Linked DNA regions of Macaca mulatta. The protein of the gene in region 2 interacts with the protein of the main gene of each other region in a biochemical or structural test. Links are inferred from orthologs where the notes say so. Each region holds a gene or a part of one and is shown on either strand. Other genes may lie near its edges.

Region 1 (3,657 bases), on a different chromosome or scaffold from region 2:
AAACTCACATAAGTTGTGTGCATTATTTTACTGTATGTGAGCTTTTATCCACATTTAAGTTCCAAAATAAACAAAGGAAACACTGAAAAAGGATAAACAAACAATAAATCACGCCACAAATTTTCCTTAACTTTAACTGATATCTAAAAAAATAGATACAGTTTAAAATCACTGTTGATAGTACATGGATGATCTCTGCCTCTGAAGCAAGGAGCTCAAAGCTCAGTCAAACACAGATCACAAACTTACAAGAATTTCAGAATTGGAAAGATTTATTAGAGGTAACCTATTCTTATCTCCTTGGTTTACAGACAAAGAAGGGAGATGAAGAGACTTTCAAACAGCTAATAAGCTGTATAAAAAGGCCTAGGAAAACAATGTAAGGAAGTCTGTAACTTTCCTATTACATATAAAGTGGTTACTTTCTTAGTTATATTCAGATCTATTTTAAGCCTGGTCCCTGAGAAATATGATTGCACAACACTCCTCAGCTAAGAACCAACAGGAGATCATATTTTCTGTTTCCTTAGTCACAAAAGCTGACCCTGACCTCTCTCCACTGAATTATAGCTAATCATCAAGCCCCAAGGGACCCAAAACTATGTTCCCAACTCTAACTAAGGTTAAAATGAACTCCTCCCTCCAATTTTTTCCTGAGAGATCTGGCAACTTCCATGCATATTTGTTTTGATTAGGTAGTATGGATGCTGCTGCTAACAGGAATAGAAAAAAGAAAAATATGTGAGTACATAAAGCCAGGAATCTTTTTGAAAACAAACTGAATTTTATTACTATTTAAAAACTGTTCATTTATTCACTGTTAGTTATACTCAATCTTTTGCCTCTTAGATTCACGAAGACTTATCAGTATTTCCAGTTCAAACGTTCCCAAGTATATAACTTTTAATGTGTAATGGGATTCTATTTCTGCAATTGAATTTCTATTACTACCAACAATGCATGAGGAATTCCTAGGTTTTAATAGTGATAATCCTCTTTGCCTGGATTAGTCTCACTTTGAGTAAAACCTTTATGAATTAGGCAAGTTTTCAAATGAAGTTTTTGGTTAATTTACCTGTAAAACTGAAAAATATCCACATTACCTACCCCGCAGGAGTACCCGTGAGGGTGAAGAAATTACAACGTGATACAAATGTAGGCATTATCCTAAAAGAGAAAGAATGCTGGCCTGGTGTGGTGTGTCACACCCATAATGCTAGCACTTTGGGAGGTCGAAGTGGGTGTTTCGCTTGAGTCCAGGAGTTTGAGACTAGCCTGGGCAAAATGGTGAAACTCCGTCTCTACAAAAAATGAAAAAATTAGCTGAGCATGGTGGCATGCACCTGTAGTCCCAGCTACTCAGGAAATTGAGGTGGGAGAATTGCTTGACCTCCGGAGTTCAAGGATGCAGTGAGCTGTGATCATGCCACTGCACTCCAGCCTGGGCAACAGAGCAAGGTCTTATCTCAAAAAAATGTAAATAAAAAAGAATGCAACCATCTGGTTTCACCAAAGTCATTTTCTTTATGAGGGTAATATGATCATAAATATATTAACTTAGACTTAAAAATGGTCAAGATGGTAAATTTTGTTATATATTTTTTGACAATTAAAAATAAAAATTACAAAATATTCCTTCCATTGATAGATGAGTGGATGAACAAAATGTGGTATACACATACCATGGAATATTACTGAGCCCTAAAAAGGAACGAAAATCTGACACACACAACATGGATAAACCTTGAAGACACTGTGCTAAGTAAAAAAGCCAGATGCAAAAGGACAAACACTGTATGATTCCACTTATATGATGACAGTTGCATACACTGTGAACTGTATTTAATCCCACTGAACTGTATACATAAATGGTTAAAATGTTATAATAAATTTCATGTTATGCATATTTTACCACAATAAAAAAAAATATTACCTTGAAGGTCTCCGATCATCTCAGAATCATGACCTCTGTCCCTTCGTTCAGCTTCCAATATAGCTTGCAGCTGGTAATAATCTTTGTCTGTTTGTGACTTAGAATTCTCTAAAAGTCGATTTCTCTCTTGCAACTCTCTGTTCAGGGACTCTAACTGACTAATTGACTTGCTCATTTCTGTGTGACTCTTCCTCAGTCTTACAGCTGTGTCTGATTCTGTCCTAAGTAAGTCATTGGCTTCTTCTAGCTATTTAAAAAAGAAAGAAAGAAAATAGGTTTCTGACCAAAGTACAATACAATTTAATTATCTACATTTTTTTAAAAAAAGGAACCTCATTTGAAACACTTACCTGCTTTTGTAACTGGGACAGCTTCTCATTAGCAAGTTGTGAATTCTGACTTACTTTCTTTAAGTCTTCCAACTGATCCTTTAATGTAGAAACTAGAAAATGAAAGAATAATATATAGAAATTACAAAATTTTCATAGTGGAAACATATAAATCCTTTTTTAAAAAATGACATTTAGTCTTAGGCCATAACAGTCAGCTACATTAGGTCCACTCCCAAAGCCAAATTCCAATTTGGAAGTACTTGCATTTTACATTCATTAAAAAGTAGAACATCATTTTATAATACAGAGTGCAAAAACAGATTTCTTCTCACTATTGTAAATCTCAAACTCCATCTCCTTTATTCCCTTTATAAGATCACTCTGTTAGTGTAATTATAAAGCTAGTTTTAATATTATTTTTCAATAGATCAATTGCTTGATAATTCAATATCTTAATACAAAATTTAACAGGTATCAAATGGCAGATAGTATAAGGCTTCCTTTCTCCATTTAGTCATTTTTGCTCCTTGTGAGTCTCCCTTAACTGACTCTCCTCCCTAATATATATTTAATTTAAGCATATATAGACAAGTACTCTTGTTTTAAACACAAGCAATCTGTACTTTGTTTTTGTCACTTAAAGATATATCTTAGAGATTGTTTCATACCAGTATTTAAGGAGATGATTTTTTTTATAAGCTGCATAGTATTCTACCATATAGATGTACTAAAATTTATTACAGCATTGATTACCTTTATGTTTCATATGTGTTACATTATGTTTCATATAAGCATTGATTGCATTTTTTTTGTCATTTTAAGCAATGCTACAATGAATAGCCTTGTGTATATATCAGTTTGCAGTATGAGTATGTATGTAAAATAACTTATGGAAGTGAAATCACTGCATCAATGGGTGTAGAAAGGTATTTTAAATATATTTGTAATAGGCATTAAAACACAAGAAATCCTAGTTTAGCAGTTCTTAGACGCAGCTGCTTGTTATAAGTACCTAGGGGGCTTGTAAAAAATAATGATACTCAGGCCACATATCTAGACCAATTAAATTAGAATCGCTGGGATTTAGGCATCAGTACTCTTTAAAGCTTCCCAGGAGATTCCAGTATGCACACCATGATGACAATCACTACTCTAGTTAAACACTACTTACTATTTACTTTAATATGTTATAAATTTAACTTGAGATCTGGGTTATTTAGCTTATAAAGTGTCTTAGGACTGTAGCTTTATGTACGTATCATGGACACTAAATTAAAGACAACCTCATGACAATGTTAGAAATTTTATCATTTTTCAAAAGTAGTGACAATTCACCTTCATTTTCTACATTTCTTCTCTTCTCATTTTCCTGTTCAGCTTTTCTTTGGTACT
Region 2 (3,657 bases):
GTGGGCATGGTCAGCAGGAGGCAGAGCAAAAGAACAAGGGTAAGAAAACCTGTAGGGCAGGACAAGCCAAGAGGCATCCAGCGTCAGTCCTCTCTGGGTAGCCCAAGTAAAGCAGGAGCATACCCCGGAGAGAAAGTTCACAGGGCTGTTCACCTGCAGTGCTGTGGACTTCAACCTTCTTGTCCCTCCTTCAGTAAGTGAAACTATAGTCATTGACCATGACTATTATCTACCGCTTTTGAAAATGTAAACATAGTAACTTTATTGCTATAAAAATCATATATGCTTATCATCTTAAAATTCAGGAAACATGGACAGGTACAAAGATGTGCAAAATATCATCCAAAATCCCATTTGCTGGCCAGGCATGGTGGCTCACGCCTGTAATCCCAGCACTTTGGGAGGCCGAGGCGGGTGGATCACAAGGTCAGGAGTTTGAGGCTAGTCTGGCCAATATGGTGAAACCCCATCTCTACTAAAAATACAAAAATTAGAGCCAGGTGCTGTGGCTTACGCCTGTAATCCCAGCACTTAGGGAGGCCAGGACAGGTGGATTGTGAGGTCAGGAGTTCAAGACCAACCTGGCCAACATGGTGAAACCCCATCTCTACTTAAAAAAAACACAAAAATTATTTGGGCGTGGTGGCACGTGCCTGTAATCCCAGCTACTTGGGAGGCTGAGGCAGGAGAATCGCTTGAACCCGGGGGGCAGAGGTTGCAGTGAGTGGAGATCCCACCATTGCACTTCAGCCTGGGTGACAGAGCGAGACTCTGTCAAAAAAAAAAAATTAGCCAGGCGTGGTGGTGTGCACCTGTAGTCTCAGCTACTTGGGAGGCTGAGGCAGGAGAATTGCTTGAACCTGGGAGATGAAGGTTGCAGTGAGCCGAGATCGTGCCATTGCACTCCAGCCTGGGCGACAGAGCAAGACTCTGTCTCAAAAATAATAGTAATAACTAGCCGGGCCTGGTGGCACATGCCTGTAGTCCCAGTTACTCAGGAGGCTGGGGCACAAGACTCATGTGAACCAGGGAGACAGAGGTTGCAGTGAGCCAAGATCACACCACTGCACTCCAGCCTGGTTGACAGAGTGAGACTCTGTCTCAAAAAAAAAAAAAAAAAATCCCATTTGCTCATTTTTTGGATACTAGTATAACTATCACTCTAAACCAGTTAGTACCTTAAATCAAGCAAATATGGGAGATGGTGAATTACCATCTGCAGTCTTGTCATATATGTCATATACTGAGCATTATAAGCTAGTAGAATCTAGTTAATTGTTCTATGTGTGATGTACGTAGAGTTCCCATTTTGAATGTGTTTTTACTATGCTTAAATAAATGACTGATGTTAGCAACCCCAAAATGATACATCTGATGTAAGAGCCCCTGTTCCCCAATAATAACATCTAAACTATAGACACTGGAATGAACAGGTGCCCCTAAGATTCCTTCCTCCAGGGTTTCTTGGCCAGTCTCTGAGGACTACGCATCCCTACCCCCATCTTTCCTCATCTTTAGGCGCAGTAACAGCATCTCCAGGTCCCCTGGCCCCAGCTCCCCAAAGGAGCCCCTGCTGTTCAGCCGTGACATCAGCCGCTCAGAATCCCTTCGTTGTTCCAGCAGCTATTCACAGCAGATCTTCCGGCCCTGTGACCTAATCCACGGGGAGGTCCTGGGGAAGGGCTTCTTTGGGCAGGCTATCAAGGTGAGCGCAGGTAGCAAATACTTTGCTCTTCTGCCCCCAGTCCCTCTCTCAATGTCTTTCGGGGATTTCTCATCACTTGGCCCCACCCCACACCCTGCAGGACGCCAGGCCTCCTTCCTGGCTTTGGGTGATGGTGTGAGAGGCTTCACCCCTACCCAGGCCACCTAAGGTCAGTGTTACTGTTACAGTGAGCTTGTGGACCTAGAGATCCAGGTTGGGTTGAGCTGTGCCTGTGGCTCTCCTGCCTCCAGTCAGTGGGTGTTTGTTAGGTGCCTACAGACCTCAGTACCGGGCATGCTACAAGGAGCACACGGGAATGGCTCCTGCCTCCCTGGTGAACAGTCTCAGGGACTAACCTCTCTCTTTCTCTCCTCCTCCTCCTCCTCTGCTGAGAACTGGGAGGGGGGGTCAGGTAAGCCATGTGTCTCAGCTTGCAGGGGCAGCAGGGCTGGAGAGCTCACCCCTGACCCACCCAGCTCCCTGGTGCATGTCTCTGGCACTGACCTTCCTGCCCCCAGATTTCTGTTCACTCAAGAGACTCACTCCTATGCCAGATGACCAGAGCCCCTGCTTGGCTTGGCAGCGTCCCCTCCTGCCTCCTTCCCCACTTCCCTTTTCTCGGTTCTTGCCTCTCCTCCGTGCATGCCCACCTCTCCAGAAAAGAGGGTATGGTTCCATCTGAGTCCCACGTTGCTCCACGCTGCATCTTCCACACATGAACTCTGTCAGTCTGACCCGGCTCAGTGTGCCCTCCAAGGGATGGGATGGCCAGCTGCATAGATTTTCTCAAACAGTTCTCCAGAACTTCTGGTCTCAGCACCGTTAACAGTCACCCTCCCTGTAGGTGACACACAAAGCCACGGGCAAAGTGATGGTCATGAAAGAGTTAATTCGATGTGATGAGGAGACCCAGAAAACTTTTCTGACTGAGGTAAGAAGATGGAGGGGGCCCGGGAGGTTGGTGTCACCATTGGAAGAGAGAAGACCTTACAAATAATGGCTTCAAGAGGAAATACAGTTTGGAATCACTGTCTTAAAGACTAAGCAGAAAAGAGCCCTAGAGGAATATCCCACTCCCTCTAAATTACAGCATAATTATTTGTTCAATGAACACTTACTAAAAGCAACACAAAGAGGATACAAGGGATGCAGTAACAAAAGATACATGGTTCAGAGAAGCTCTCAGGTTATGAGGATGATGGACATGAAAACACGCCAGTTTAGTACAACTCGATGTTATAATCCTTACCTGAATGCCCTGCTAAGGGAACCTGGAGGGGGAGCTCCCTGAGCACTCACACTCCTTGGGCATTTACAGTTTTCACCATCCCTCCCAAGTTACTTCATGGAGCAACGTCAGTTGGGGACACCTGTGGTCCGGGTACTGCCCTCCAAGCTACTTGGCCACTCCCACCCCAGTTCCCCCAGTGCAGTTCCTAGAAAGGCAGGATCCCAAGGGTAAGGTCCGTGAAGCCATCTCCATCTATATGGTGGTGGTCTTCCCTCATCCTGATCTTAGTGCCCTGTCATATCACAAGAGAGGCAGTAGGAGATACAGGTGGTAACACTTGTCAGGCTGATTCCCTGGAGGGAAGGGGTAAGGAAGACATAGAAGTTAACAGCCAGCTTTCCTTGGCTTCCCTGACCCCCAGGTGAAAGTGATGCGCAGCCTGGACCACCCCAATGTGCTCAAGTTCATTGGTGTGCTGTACAAGGATAAGAAGCTGAACCTGCTGACAGAGTACATTGAGGGGGGCACACTGAAGGACTTCCTGCGCAACATGGTGAGTACACCACCCCATAGTCTCCAGGAGCCTTGGTATGTTGTCATGGTCAAAGGCCAGAGGGGCCCTGCTTTGCCCCCAAAGGACCATGCTGGGTGGGACTGAGCATAGACAGGGAGGCTTCACTAGGAGACCACATTGACCCATAGGGCCTGGACCATGAGTGGG

What was found.
Region 1: of the proteins of LIMK2 (region 2) and ROCK1, one has a biochemical effect on the other in vitro, tested with the Homo sapiens proteins (2 studies listed by BioGRID). The link is inferred for Macaca mulatta from reciprocal best matches to the Homo sapiens genes LIMK2 and ROCK1.

Annotation. Positions count from the first base shown.
Region 1 is NC_133423.1:71,400,044-71,403,700, reverse strand, and holds part of ROCK1 (rho-associated protein kinase 1), read right to left. Parts: coding exon 3,601-3,657; intron 2,376-3,600; coding exon 2,284-2,375; intron 2,181-2,283; coding exon 1,934-2,180; intron 1-1,933. UniProt on the Homo sapiens protein: Protein kinase which is a key regulator of the actin cytoskeleton and cell polarity.
Region 2 is NC_133415.1:20,254,049-20,257,705, reverse strand, and holds part of LIMK2 (LIM domain kinase 2), read left to right. Parts: intron 1-1,518; coding exon 1,519-1,705; intron 1,706-2,355; exon of another isoform or gene 2,356-2,549; coding exon 2,550-2,636; intron 2,637-3,357; coding exon 3,358-3,524; intron 3,525-3,657. UniProt on the Homo sapiens protein: Serine/threonine-protein kinase that plays an essential role in the regulation of actin filament dynamics. Acts downstream of several Rho family GTPase signal transduction pathways.